2 linked regions of the Arabidopsis thaliana genome follow. The protein of the gene in region 1 interacts with the protein of each later gene in a biochemical or structural test. Each region holds a gene or a part of one and is shown on either strand. Other genes may lie near its edges.

What was found.
Region 2: of the proteins of PUB13 (region 1) and BAK1, one has a biochemical effect on the other in vitro, tested with the Arabidopsis thaliana proteins (2 studies listed by BioGRID, with this or other methods).

Annotation. Positions count from the first base shown.
Region 1 is NC_003074.8:17,122,939-17,128,893, reverse strand, and holds PUB13 (plant U-box 13), read left to right. Parts: upstream 1-1,996; 5' UTR 1,997-2,354; coding exon 2,355-2,624; intron 2,625-2,892; coding exon 2,893-3,009; intron 3,010-3,102; coding exon 3,103-3,552; intron 3,553-3,642; coding exon 3,643-4,788; 3' UTR 4,789-5,163; downstream 5,164-5,955. Other genes in the region: ACT12 (actin-12), read right to left, coding at 1-185, 268-327. UniProt on the Arabidopsis thaliana protein: Functions as an E3 ubiquitin ligase.
Region 2 is NC_003075.7:16,085,539-16,092,375, reverse strand, and holds BAK1 (BRI1-associated receptor kinase), read left to right. Parts: upstream 1-1,598; 5' UTR 1,599-2,087; coding exon 2,088-2,172; intron 2,173-2,441; coding exon 2,442-2,574; intron 2,575-2,656; coding exon 2,657-2,728; intron 2,729-2,897; coding exon 2,898-3,041; intron 3,042-3,168; coding exon 3,169-3,309; intron 3,310-3,760; coding exon 3,761-3,832; intron 3,833-3,938; coding exon 3,939-4,010; intron 4,011-4,085; coding exon 4,086-4,162; intron 4,163-4,274; coding exon 4,275-4,406; intron 4,407-4,483; coding exon 4,484-4,825; intron 4,826-4,922; coding exon 4,923-5,317; intron 5,318-5,398; coding exon 5,399-5,722; 3' UTR 5,723-6,065; downstream 6,066-6,837. Other genes in the region: AT4G33440 (Pectin lyase-like superfamily protein), read right to left, coding at 1-356; AT4G33420 (Peroxidase superfamily protein), read right to left, coding at 6,271-6,650, 6,740-6,837.

The sequences.
Region 1 (5,955 bases):
TCCCAGTTGTTGACAATACCATGCTCAATTGGATACTTGAGAGTCAAGATACCACGTTTCGACTGTGCCTCGTCTCCGACGTATGCATCCTTTTGTCCCATTCCAACCATCACTCCCGTGTGACGTGGACGGCCAACGATACTTGGGAATACAGCTCTAGGAGCATCATCACCTGCAAAACCAGCCTACACGCACATAGTTGAATTGCTTAACTTATGGCACATAATAACATTCACAAATCTTGTTTCTCTAAAGCTTTTTGATTACCTTGACCATTCCAGTCCCGTTATCGCAAACGAGCGGCTGAATATCTTCACCGTCCGCCATTTTTCAATCTCTAGCTGATTACATCAACATAAGAAACATAGCAAATTCAAAGGAAACACCAATAATTAATGCCAATCTCATAACTAAATCTAAAACAATAAAATGTAACCATTAAATCTAATTCGTTACGTATACCATAATCAAACGCATTAGCGTTACATTTATATTGGTTTTGCCTCCTTGTGATCAAAATTTTGACATCAAATAAACAAAAAAAATAACATGTACCTGATGAATTTACGTAGATCTAGAAGAAAAGAAAGAGGTTGTGGAATCGTGCCCTGAAATTGGGTTTCAAAAATTTCTGGAAAACAGAAGCAACTTTGGCCCTTAATATCGTTCATACACGGGTCTGAGCCGTTAGTTTTCTTCATTGAGACCAATATCTCAGCCTCTATAGACACGTGTCCATCTATTTTTAGGTTGGAGAATTAAGAAAACACCAGCCTAACCTGAAAATACGGTTTAGGCTCTGTTTTACCGGAAGAATCGGGTCACCGAACAAGCATGAGTGGTAATGAGCCCATTTGGGCCTAAGAAAAAGGTTAAAAGGCCATTTTCTTTAGATTATTCAATTTTAGACAATCAGTGAAATTTCAGTAACATTTCCTTCTAGTTTCTAGTAATTTATGTGTTCAACCGAAATTTCAGTGCTATGTAAAAGAGTGCTATCCAAACTATAATTAAGAAAAAGGGTAAAAGATCTTAGTGGGTGAGGTATGGAAATTGCTGAAAAAGTTCTGGGAAGAATGAGAGTAATGATGATAACGGTAATTGACAAATGTGATAATGATGATAGGGATATGTGCAAGTAAAATAATCAAGCATGTGCATAAGATTCATTATTTGACATGAGACTTTATTATGTGTTTTTGCTTATTATAGTTTCTTACAAAACAAATGAAGAAAGTAGTGAACAACATACAACAATACTAAATAACAGTGTGATTGTTGAAGAAATAGTTTCCATTTAATATTTAAAACTAGGCTTCCAAGGCCTTGACAAATTTCATTAGAGAAGGATTTATTTTTAATTAGTGGAATATATGATCAAGAAAATAAATTGACATTTTGGTATAGATTAGGGACATTGGAGACAGAGGGGTTGATTTTGAGATTGAATTTTGACTTTTCTGTGTATTTAGCTTTTAGCCACCAATTAAAGCAAACATTCATTCATTTTGTCATGTTGATCGCTGCACTTATCTAACTAGAGTATTATTCCCTTTTCGAGGTACCCAGAGGATTAAGCATTTTTTTTAAAAAAAGAGCCTAATACTTTACCTAATAACAAGAAACATGTAGAGTAGAAACAAGTAAAAAAAAGTTTAAAAGAAGAAGGATTAGATCAAAAGAAATAACTATTTTAGGATAATTTCGTTGTCCAGTTGAACTATTTTTAATTTTTCTTTTTAAAATATTTTCTTGCATGATTAGAGAGATAGAGGTATAAAACCTTTTTAATTCTTCAATTATCACTAAATCCAAAATTATAAATGCATTAACAATTTTGTTCTTCTATGACACCCCAAAAATGTCACCAACTACAGCAAAAAAGTGACCACTATATCCGTAAAAATTCGTATATTCAATCCGTGAAAATATAATAGTTGAAAAATATTCAAAATTTCACAAGAAAATTAGTAATTTTATAGAGAAATAATTTAAATGATAATATAATATATTAATGTAAAAAATAAAACAAACACAATCGTAACCGGTCCCGCGGCTTCGTGGTCGAATTTACCTTTGTTCCGGTTTAGTTCTTAAGCCGAGAGAATCGTACAAGTTGCAATAAGCTAAAGCCGTCAGCTAAACGACGCCGTTTTCGAAAAGTCCTCGTCTTCTCTCTCACACAATCTCTCTTTCTCAGAAATCTCTCTCTTTCGCACTTTCTGCAAATGGTTCTCTTCTTCCTTTAAGCTCAATCTCGCCACTGGAGTCTCAATCGGGAAAGATCTCCATCTTCTCCGGAGGAAAAACGGATCCGTAAATCGTGAATTTTTAAACAGAGAAGAATCAATTCAATGGAGGAAGAGAAAGCTTCTGCTGCACAGAGCTTAATCGATGTAGTTAACGAGATTGCTGCGATTTCTGATTATCGTATAACAGTGAAGAAGCTTTGTTATAATCTAGCGAGGAGATTAAAGCTGCTTGTTCCTATGTTTGAGGAAATTAGAGAAAGTAACGAACCGATCAGCGAAGATACGTTGAAGACTTTGATGAATTTGAAGGAAGCTATGTGTTCAGCGAAGGATTATCTCAAATTTTGTAGCCAAGGGAGCAAGATTTATCTGGTGCGTTTCTTCTTCGATTTATTAGCATCTATGATTAGATCTGTGTGGTCACTGAGAATTTTTGTTCTCGTTGACGAATTGGTGTTTTCATTGAATGAGAGAGCCACGTGCTTTGTTTTGCTATGGTAGTGTTTGAGTGATATCAATGCTTCTTTGGTATTTGATTAGATGTTAGATTTGGTAGTGGTTGATGTGACTTGATTGATCTATGGAAGTTGTTGAGAATTTGTGCTCTGATACACAAGAGATGTTGTTGTTCTGTGTGTAGGTGATGGAGAGGGAACAAGTGACAAGTAAATTGATGGAGGTGTCTGTTAAGTTAGAACAATCTTTAAGCCAGATTCCATATGAAGAACTCGATATATCGGATGAAGTTAGAGAACAGGTAAATTCTTGAAACCCAAGGCTGGCTAGGCCAGTGTCTGGATCAGTAAAGACGACATGTAGTTGATTCATAGCGTTTTTTTGGTTGTTGTAGGTTGAGCTGGTTCTTAGTCAGTTTCGGCGAGCTAAAGGAAGAGTAGATGTATCAGATGATGAGCTATATGAAGATCTTCAGTCGCTTTGCAACAAAAGTAGTGATGTAGATGCTTATCAGCCTGTGCTAGAGCGGGTTGCGAAGAAGTTACATTTGATGGAGATTCCTGACCTAGCTCAAGAATCAGTGGCTCTGCATGAAATGGTTGCTTCAAGCGGTGGAGATGTTGGTGAAAATATTGAGGAGATGGCAATGGTATTAAAGATGATTAAGGATTTTGTGCAGACGGAGGATGATAATGGCGAGGAGCAGAAAGTAGGAGTTAACTCTAGAAGCAATGGACAGACTTCTACGGCAGCGAGTCAGAAGATACCTGTGATTCCTGATGATTTTCGCTGTCCGATTTCGCTGGAAATGATGAGAGATCCAGTTATTGTTTCATCAGGGCAGGTATAGTTCACTTCAACCTCAGCTTCTTCAAATTTATTTCTGCGATCTCTTAAGATTTAATTATAGAAGCATGTTCTCCTCTATGTATAGACATACGAACGCACATGTATTGAGAAATGGATAGAAGGTGGACACTCGACATGTCCAAAAACACAGCAGGCGCTAACAAGCACAACCCTCACACCAAACTATGTTCTCCGTAGTCTCATAGCTCAGTGGTGCGAGGCCAACGATATTGAGCCTCCAAAGCCTCCGAGCAGTTTAAGACCCAGAAAAGTATCGTCCTTCTCATCTCCCGCAGAAGCGAACAAGATTGAAGATCTTATGTGGAGACTTGCGTACGGAAACCCCGAGGACCAACGATCTGCAGCTGGGGAAATCCGCCTTCTTGCAAAACGAAATGCAGACAACCGCGTGGCCATAGCCGAAGCTGGAGCCATACCTCTTCTCGTAGGTCTCCTCTCAACTCCTGATTCTCGTATTCAAGAACATTCGGTAACAGCTCTTCTAAACCTCTCCATATGTGAGAACAACAAAGGAGCCATTGTTTCAGCTGGAGCTATTCCTGGTATAGTTCAAGTGCTTAAGAAAGGAAGCATGGAGGCCAGAGAGAATGCGGCGGCTACACTTTTCAGTCTATCAGTGATCGATGAAAATAAAGTGACTATCGGTGCCTTAGGAGCAATTCCGCCACTCGTTGTATTACTTAATGAAGGTACACAAAGAGGCAAGAAAGATGCTGCTACTGCACTCTTTAACCTCTGTATATACCAAGGAAACAAAGGAAAAGCTATACGTGCAGGAGTGATTCCCACGTTGACTAGACTCTTGACAGAGCCCGGAAGCGGAATGGTCGATGAGGCACTCGCGATTTTGGCGATTCTCTCTAGCCACCCCGAAGGAAAAGCAATCATAGGATCCTCTGATGCAGTCCCAAGTTTGGTTGAGTTTATCAGAACTGGCTCGCCTAGAAACAGAGAAAACGCAGCTGCTGTTCTAGTCCACCTCTGTTCTGGAGACCCACAACATCTTGTCGAAGCGCAGAAACTCGGCCTTATGGGTCCATTGATAGATTTAGCTGGAAATGGGACGGATAGAGGGAAACGAAAAGCAGCGCAGTTGCTTGAACGCATCAGCCGTCTCGCTGAACAGCAGAAGGAAACGGCTGTGTCACAACCGGAAGAAGAAGCTGAACCAACACATCCAGAATCCACCACAGAAGCTGCAGATACTTAAAGATTGTCTTTGTTTTGGATCCTCGGGTCATCTCTTTCACGTACGTATGTTTATTATTCTCACTTTTTGTTTGTGCTACTCATCCTCCCTCGAGGTAGGATTCACGGTAGACGCGGAAGAGGGAAATGGCCTCCTTCTCCGATCTACTTTTAACTTTATGGTGATATCTTTGTGTGGACAGAGCAATCTGGTCCACAGGAGAGAAAAGCAAATATGCATACATACACGTCAACTTGTATCATTGTAACACTATGTTTGTAATCATTTCCACGAGCTTTTTTTTGTTTTCAATACAAGATCTCTCTGTTCGCTTTCTTAATAGCATTGAGATACTAATTGAATATAATGCAGATTCCCATTTTTCATGAACAGATGCGTAAACTGCTTGTAGAGTCGATAGATTCCATGCATAATGTTTCAATACAAGTATACAAAACTATCAAATAGTAAAATCTCAACCCGTTTTAAAATTTCTTAGAGAATCCATAGAACAAATATGTCTCCAAGCACAAATATAACATGTAATGTGACTCCACTACACTCATCACAAGTAGAGACCATTCCTTCGGATCATAGAGAGAGAGAGAGAGAGAGATAGAACACATCAAATACATTTCCAGTGTTAGATTATTATATATGTCGAACTACTTTACTAGATGTATTGTGCAAATAGATTCAAAAAGGGGTTGTTTAATTAGGGTTTAAGATTTTAGCAAAGTAAGGATATGAGTTTATTGCCCAAATCCAAGGTGTTCGGCTTTAATGTCGAAAACCAGAGATGGAACTATGAGATACTGTTTACAATGCGGTGACCCCTTTTGTAACATCTGCAAAGATGCGTGGCATAGTAACTTGTCGTGCGAAGATTACAAGAGATTGGGTCCAAATCCTACAGAAGATGATATAAAGTTCGAATCTTTAGCAAATCAGAATATGTGGCGTCAATGTGGAAATTGCAACCAAATGATTGAATTTTCTAATGGATGCATCAGAGTAACATGCATGTATCATCATCATCACATATTCACATTCTCTATCTGTTATAATTAATCCTTTTAGAATCTGTTTATGTTTTCACGTAATTAACAGTATCGTAATGTTCATGGTTGATGGATATCATATAGATGTGGCTACAAATTTTGTTACATATGTGGAGCCCAATGGAAG
Region 2 (6,837 bases), on another chromosome or scaffold:
CCAGAAAGCCACGTGCCCTCCGGGACATTGAGCTGGGCCCCACCCTCCGCCGCAAAACCTTCAAGGTGCCTTACGGCGCGGCGGAAAGCGGCCGTGTTCGACGTCTTTCCGTCTCCAACACCGCCGAAATCGGTAATCGACATAACGATCCGGTTAGGGAACGGGTCGTGATTGAAAAACCCGGAGCAGGTAACAGGGTCGTCATATTGAGAAGTCGGGATCCAGAGAGGGAGAAAAGAATTGGAAGAGATTTGGAGAGAGAGAATCGCTAAGACGGTGAAAACAAGGAGAAGAAACGCCCACGAAGGTCTTGTAATGGCACTCAATACTGTGGTCGGATTCTTCTCCGGTTCCATTGTTTTTTGGAAACAGAGAGAAAACTCAAAAGCCCATGAAGCAAGCTCTGAGATAAAATTACAAACAGAAGAATGCTAAAGTGGGACTTTTAGATGGTTGGAGAGAATTATGCATGTGTGTGGCAATGATTAGCGTAGTGTGGTGGTGACAACAAACAAAGGTGGAGGAAGATAGAAAGTCGATAGATACCTTACCTCGAAAATTCGTCTCTCTCTTTGATTATTTTTGTATATATAAATAGAAAAAAGTAGTAGTAAATAAGAAAATTGGATACAGACACAGATATGTCGTGAAAAGGGCACTAAAATATTGGATGGTGCATGTGAATCGTCAAAAAGTGGCAAGGAGAAAGTGAAAGTCTTCACGAATTATATTTTGGTTTATATATAAAAGAAGAAGAAAGAAGAAGAAAGAAGAAGAAAGAAGATGGATGATACACAATCGGTCACGGACTCACGGGTAGGAAGGATTGTGAGGCGTTACAATCTCGTCAGACTTCCAAGTCTTAATCTGATGGGCCTTTAAATAGCCTACTGTACTGAGTTGTTTGTTGTGTTTTTGTTTTGTTTTTTAATGCCAAACTAAGGTATATGTCCGTATTTTATTGCTGGCAACATATACTCTGTCCGTTTGTGTTTTTTGTTTTTTATTTCATTTTTCCTCAAAATTACTTTTGTTCTTTTAAAAATATTAAATGGCATAAATAGTTAAACTATCAACCAGTAAATTATATATGATACAATAATGTTTTTTGTTTTGTTTAATTCATTGGACCAGATGGATTATTCAGCTTACATTTTTCAATATTGAATTGTAATTTTTTAGAGCTATAATCTTTAAAAAAGAATAAAAAAATCAAAAAAGCTTTTGCTCATCTTTGGAATAAACGAACTTGCTATTAAGACCAAGCCCAATAAACAATAAAAGCCCGAAAAAATAGAGCTGGGCCGGTAATTAGGATTATGATGATGGTATATAACTCACTATCAACTATCATGAGTTCATGACCATCATGGTTTATATCTAATGTCATATGATGGATGATGATAAGGTGGGCGAACATAACAAACATGATTCGGAATGAAGTCGTGCGTCTTTGACTTTGACTAGCTCTAAAAAAGCTTTGAAAATGCTCGTCCACGTCATCATCCTCTTTGTCGTTTTCTCAATCTTAAATGTCATTTTTTTAATATAGTTTTCACAGTACAACAACTCAACCCAGTAAAATCCCTTCTTTAAGCAAAGAAAATAATTAAAATTCGTCTTCCTTCCTTGCTCTCGGCGATAACTTGGTTTCTCTCCTCTCTCTCATCTCTCTTTGTTTCGACCCTTTTTTAGTATATTTCCAGGAAATATCTTCTTCCTCCTTTCGTTTTCTCTATCTCAGTTTTCTCTCTTCTCAGCATTAAGTAGTCAACGGTCAGCGATCTCGGCGTTCCTTCTAATCGGAAAAGTCTAGCTTCAGTTTCTTTTTTTTTTGCTTTTTTGGTTTCCGCGATTAATCGATTTGGGTATTTTGATTTTCTCTTCAAATTAAGTCAACGGGTGGATACGCGTTGAGAGGGCTTTTCTCGTATTCTGCTTCTAATTTCATCATCTTGGTATTACCTTGTGTGGGTGGTAGCTTAATCGAAGGATTCGAGATCCCTTTTATCAGGGGTTTTAACAATGATGGATTTTCTCTGATGAGGGATAGTTCTAGGGTTTGTTTTTAATCTCTTGAGGATAAAATGGAACGAAGATTAATGATCCCTTGCTTCTTTTGGTTGATTCTCGTTTTGGATTTGGTTCTCAGAGTCTCGGGCAACGCCGAAGGTTTCCCCTTTCTCTCTCATTCTCTTTCAATTTTTCATTCTTTCCAATTAAATTAGTTTCCCTTGTTGAGTATTTTGATTAGTATAGGCTTATGAGAGCTTGTTCTCACCTAAAGAAGGCATTTTTAACTTATCTGTTACTTGTTTTGCTGTATTGACTTGAGTTATATTTGGGTTACATCTGTTTCGACTGATTCCAGTGATTATGTATCCTCGTGACACTTGATGATTGCAAAGTTTGATTTTTTCTTCTTCTTTGGTTAATTGTAGGTGATGCTCTAAGTGCACTGAAAAACAGTTTAGCCGACCCTAATAAGGTGCTTCAAAGTTGGGATGCTACTCTTGTTACTCCATGTACATGGTTTCATGTTACTTGCAATAGCGACAATAGTGTTACACGTGTGTAAGTTTCTTTCTATATCTAGCCAAGATGATTCGGATTTTCGCATCTACTGAGAATTTACTTGAACTTCATTTTTGCTCAGTGACCTTGGGAATGCAAATCTATCTGGACAGCTCGTAATGCAACTTGGTCAGCTTCCAAACTTGCAGTACTTGTAAGTCATCTTTTCTTTAAAAGGCCGTCTTTTAACTTTTGGTGTATGTGGGATGTTAAAAATGTTACAATGTTCCAAATAACTGCATAATTTTGCATTATCATAGATTATTAGTTATATATCTTTCCGATCTTATGGTGAAATTAATATTAAAGAATGGTAATGACAGGGAGCTTTATAGCAATAACATTACTGGGACAATCCCAGAACAGCTTGGAAATCTGACGGAATTGGTGAGCTTGGATCTTTACTTGAACAATTTAAGCGGGCCTATTCCATCAACTCTCGGCCGACTTAAGAAACTCCGTTTCTTGTATGCACCATATTCTACTCTCTTCTTTTAATACGTTTTTAATAAGCAGCCTAATTATTGTCTTTAGTTTCCTTGATCGTGTTTGTCTTCCTGTAAAAGCTATTCGTGCAACGTGTTACATTTGTAGGAGTCAGAAAGTAGTGTCGCCAAATAGATGCTACGTTATTTTACTAGATGAAAAGGTGTTCTCTTGGAGACTAGGATGTTGTATAATATGGTCTATTTTAATTATGAGCTTTCGTAAAAGGAATCAGAACTCTATCCTTGTGTTCGCTTAATTTTACTGGAACAACACAAAGTTCCGAATTCAGGTGACTGTCTTTTTGGTTGTTCTCGTGTGTCACCTTTGTGATCTTCAATGGTAGTTATTGACTCGCTTATTTTGTATGAAATCGATTTGGTTCTGGAAGAATGAAATTCTATCAAAGATAACAATATTCTTCTGCCTTAGAATTTAAGCGCTAAACCCTATTGTTACTTATTAATTTGTGAGTGCTCTGTAAATCTAGAGGGTGAACGCATCTAAAGTAGTAAGTCGCGCTAATTAGGAAAATATACTTGATTTTTCAATCAGCTTCATATCTGTTGGATGAGATTTTAGAACAACCCCTACTTTTGAAAGTCTTTTAAAGTTTGTATTTTTGCTCTCACTATAAACTCATTACTGGTTAATGTATTTCCACTTATTCATGACATTCTCTTTTTGTATTGGTGGTTAGGCGTCTTAATAACAATAGCTTATCTGGAGAAATTCCAAGGTCTTTGACTGCTGTCCTGACGCTACAAGTTCTGTGAGTGTAACTTTATCTCTCTCAAATTCCTCTGTGTTCATGTTTCTGATTATTGTTTGGCCGATCTTGGCATTAAGTCAGAAAATGATATCATCTTATAATGCAGGGATCTCTCAAACAATCCTCTCACCGGAGATATTCCTGTTAATGGTTCCTTTTCACTTTTCACTCCAATCAGGTTTTGCATCCTGCTCCTAGTTTAAATCTTGGTGGAGAGGTCAGAATGTTTGATTAATTATTTGAAATTTTGCAGTTTTGCCAACACCAAGTTGACTCCCCTTCCTGCATCTCCACCGCCTCCTATCTCTCCTACACCGCCATCACCTGCAGGTTTTTTTTTGTATATGTCTTTGTCTTTGAAATGTTATTCAACTGAATAAGTAAACATTTTAAGCAGATCCATTAAGTATTAAGAAAGAGATTGTTCATTTCATTCTTGCAGGGAGTAATAGAATTACTGGAGCGATTGCGGGAGGAGTTGCTGCAGGTGCTGCACTTCTATTTGCTGTTCCGGCCATTGCACTAGCTTGGTGGCGAAGGAAAAAGCCGCAGGACCACTTCTTTGATGTACCAGGTTAGCTAAACTTGCTTTACCTGTTTCCTCATTAACACTTCTCTTGCTGATTTTTTTTTATTACCGTCTTTTTGCAGCTGAAGAGGACCCAGAAGTTCATTTAGGACAACTGAAGAGGTTTTCATTGCGTGAACTACAAGTTGCTTCGGATAATTTTAGCAACAAGAACATATTGGGTAGAGGTGGTTTTGGTAAAGTTTATAAAGGACGGTTAGCTGATGGTACTTTAGTGGCCGTTAAAAGGCTAAAAGAGGAGCGCACCCAAGGTGGCGAACTGCAGTTCCAGACAGAGGTTGAGATGATTAGTATGGCGGTTCACAGAAACTTGCTTCGGCTTCGTGGATTTTGCATGACTCCAACCGAAAGATTGCTTGTTTATCCCTACATGGCTAATGGAAGTGTTGCCTCCTGTTTAAGAGGTATCTCTCATCTTGTGCCTTTTTCTTTGACTGCAATATTTCCGTCCAATGGTTGCCTTTTTATCCGTAGTAATCTTATATTTTATTTTCTCCTTAGAACGTCCCGAGTCCCAGCCACCACTTGATTGGCCAAAGAGACAGCGTATTGCGTTGGGATCTGCAAGAGGGCTTGCGTATTTACATGATCATTGCGACCCAAAGATTATTCATCGAGATGTGAAAGCTGCAAATATTTTGTTGGATGAAGAGTTTGAAGCCGTGGTTGGGGATTTTGGACTTGCAAAACTCATGGACTACAAAGACACACATGTGACAACCGCAGTGCGTGGGACAATTGGTCATATAGCCCCTGAGTACCTTTCCACTGGAAAATCATCAGAGAAAACCGATGTCTTTGGGTATGGAGTCATGCTTCTTGAGCTTATCACTGGACAAAGGGCTTTTGATCTTGCTCGCCTCGCGAATGATGATGATGTCATGTTACTAGACTGGGTATATACATATATGAGTTTCCCACTTGTATAGTTCATTATCTGTGTTACCTCTATTTGTGTTAATTATTCATTTCGACAGGTGAAAGGGTTGTTAAAAGAGAAGAAATTGGAAGCACTAGTAGATGTTGATCTTCAGGGTAATTACAAAGACGAAGAAGTGGAGCAGCTAATCCAAGTGGCTTTACTCTGCACTCAGAGTTCACCAATGGAAAGACCCAAAATGTCTGAAGTTGTAAGAATGCTTGAAGGAGATGGTTTAGCTGAGAGATGGGAAGAGTGGCAAAAGGAGGAAATGTTCAGACAAGATTTCAACTACCCAACCCACCATCCAGCCGTGTCTGGCTGGATCATTGGCGATTCCACTTCCCAGATCGAAAACGAATACCCCTCGGGTCCAAGATAAGATTCGAAACACGAATGTTTTTTCTGTATTTTGTTTTTCTCTGTATTTATTGAGGGTTTTAGCTTCTGCTGCTCCATATTATTGGTTCTTAAGTGAATACATGAGGATCAGATTGGGTTTGTAAGTGTTATATGATGAAAAAGGATTTGAATGTTGTTGAAAGCTAAAACCCAAACATGTCTTAAGCTCACCACTTGAGGATTGTTGCGCACTTGATTCACAAATATGTATCCCATCAATTATTCTTTTTCACCGTGCGTCAGGTTTCTTTTCTTACCGGTTTCTGTGTTATCATGTGATTTCTAGATCCGGAGATTGTTCAGAAGAAAAGGAGACTTTTGCCTTTAAATAGCAATTGGACAAGAAAATGCAACCAAAGTATATTACTTTTTGATGGATATCTGAACCACACAAGCAATAAGTATACAACTGCATATTACGAGAGTACACAATTTTTACATAGTAGCCTAGAAGATTCATGATTCTTCATATAACAAGAGTAGAGAACTTATTATAAATACAAAAATCGTAAGTAGATGTGGTCTAGCCTAATTAATACTCCGACAATTTTGACGGACTTCACCTTGAGAGCCAAGTTTAACATCAAGATTGCTCATCTTGCGCATGGCCTGTTGGAAATCAAAGAAGAACTTGGCTTGGTTAAGTGCATAGCCGTTAACAAGATTCCTGGTCCTTGGTGTGTTGAATAAAGTTTGGTCTGAAAAGAGGACTCCTGATTTCATCTGAAGCGCATTGAAGTAAGCATTGTCGAAATCGTTGCGCGTAGCATCAAAGGGTTGCTCTGCATTGTCACCCGCGCTGCATGTTTTAGAGAGAGTGTTTGCAAAAGTCGAGTCTAATGAAGAGTCTGGGACGGTAAGTCTAGCCTTGAAGGAGGAGCATCGTGCAACTCCTAGGGTATGTGCTCCTATATATATATCCCCACAAATTATTAAGTTAAAACCAAATTAGATTATCACACACAATACACATATATTAGTTCTTTAAAGAACTGACCAGAGAGAGCAACAACATCTTGTGGAGTGAAACCACGTTGGCCAAAAGTTTGAATGAGTTGAGAGGCATTAAGAAAAGGTGAAGGTAGATTTCTTGTA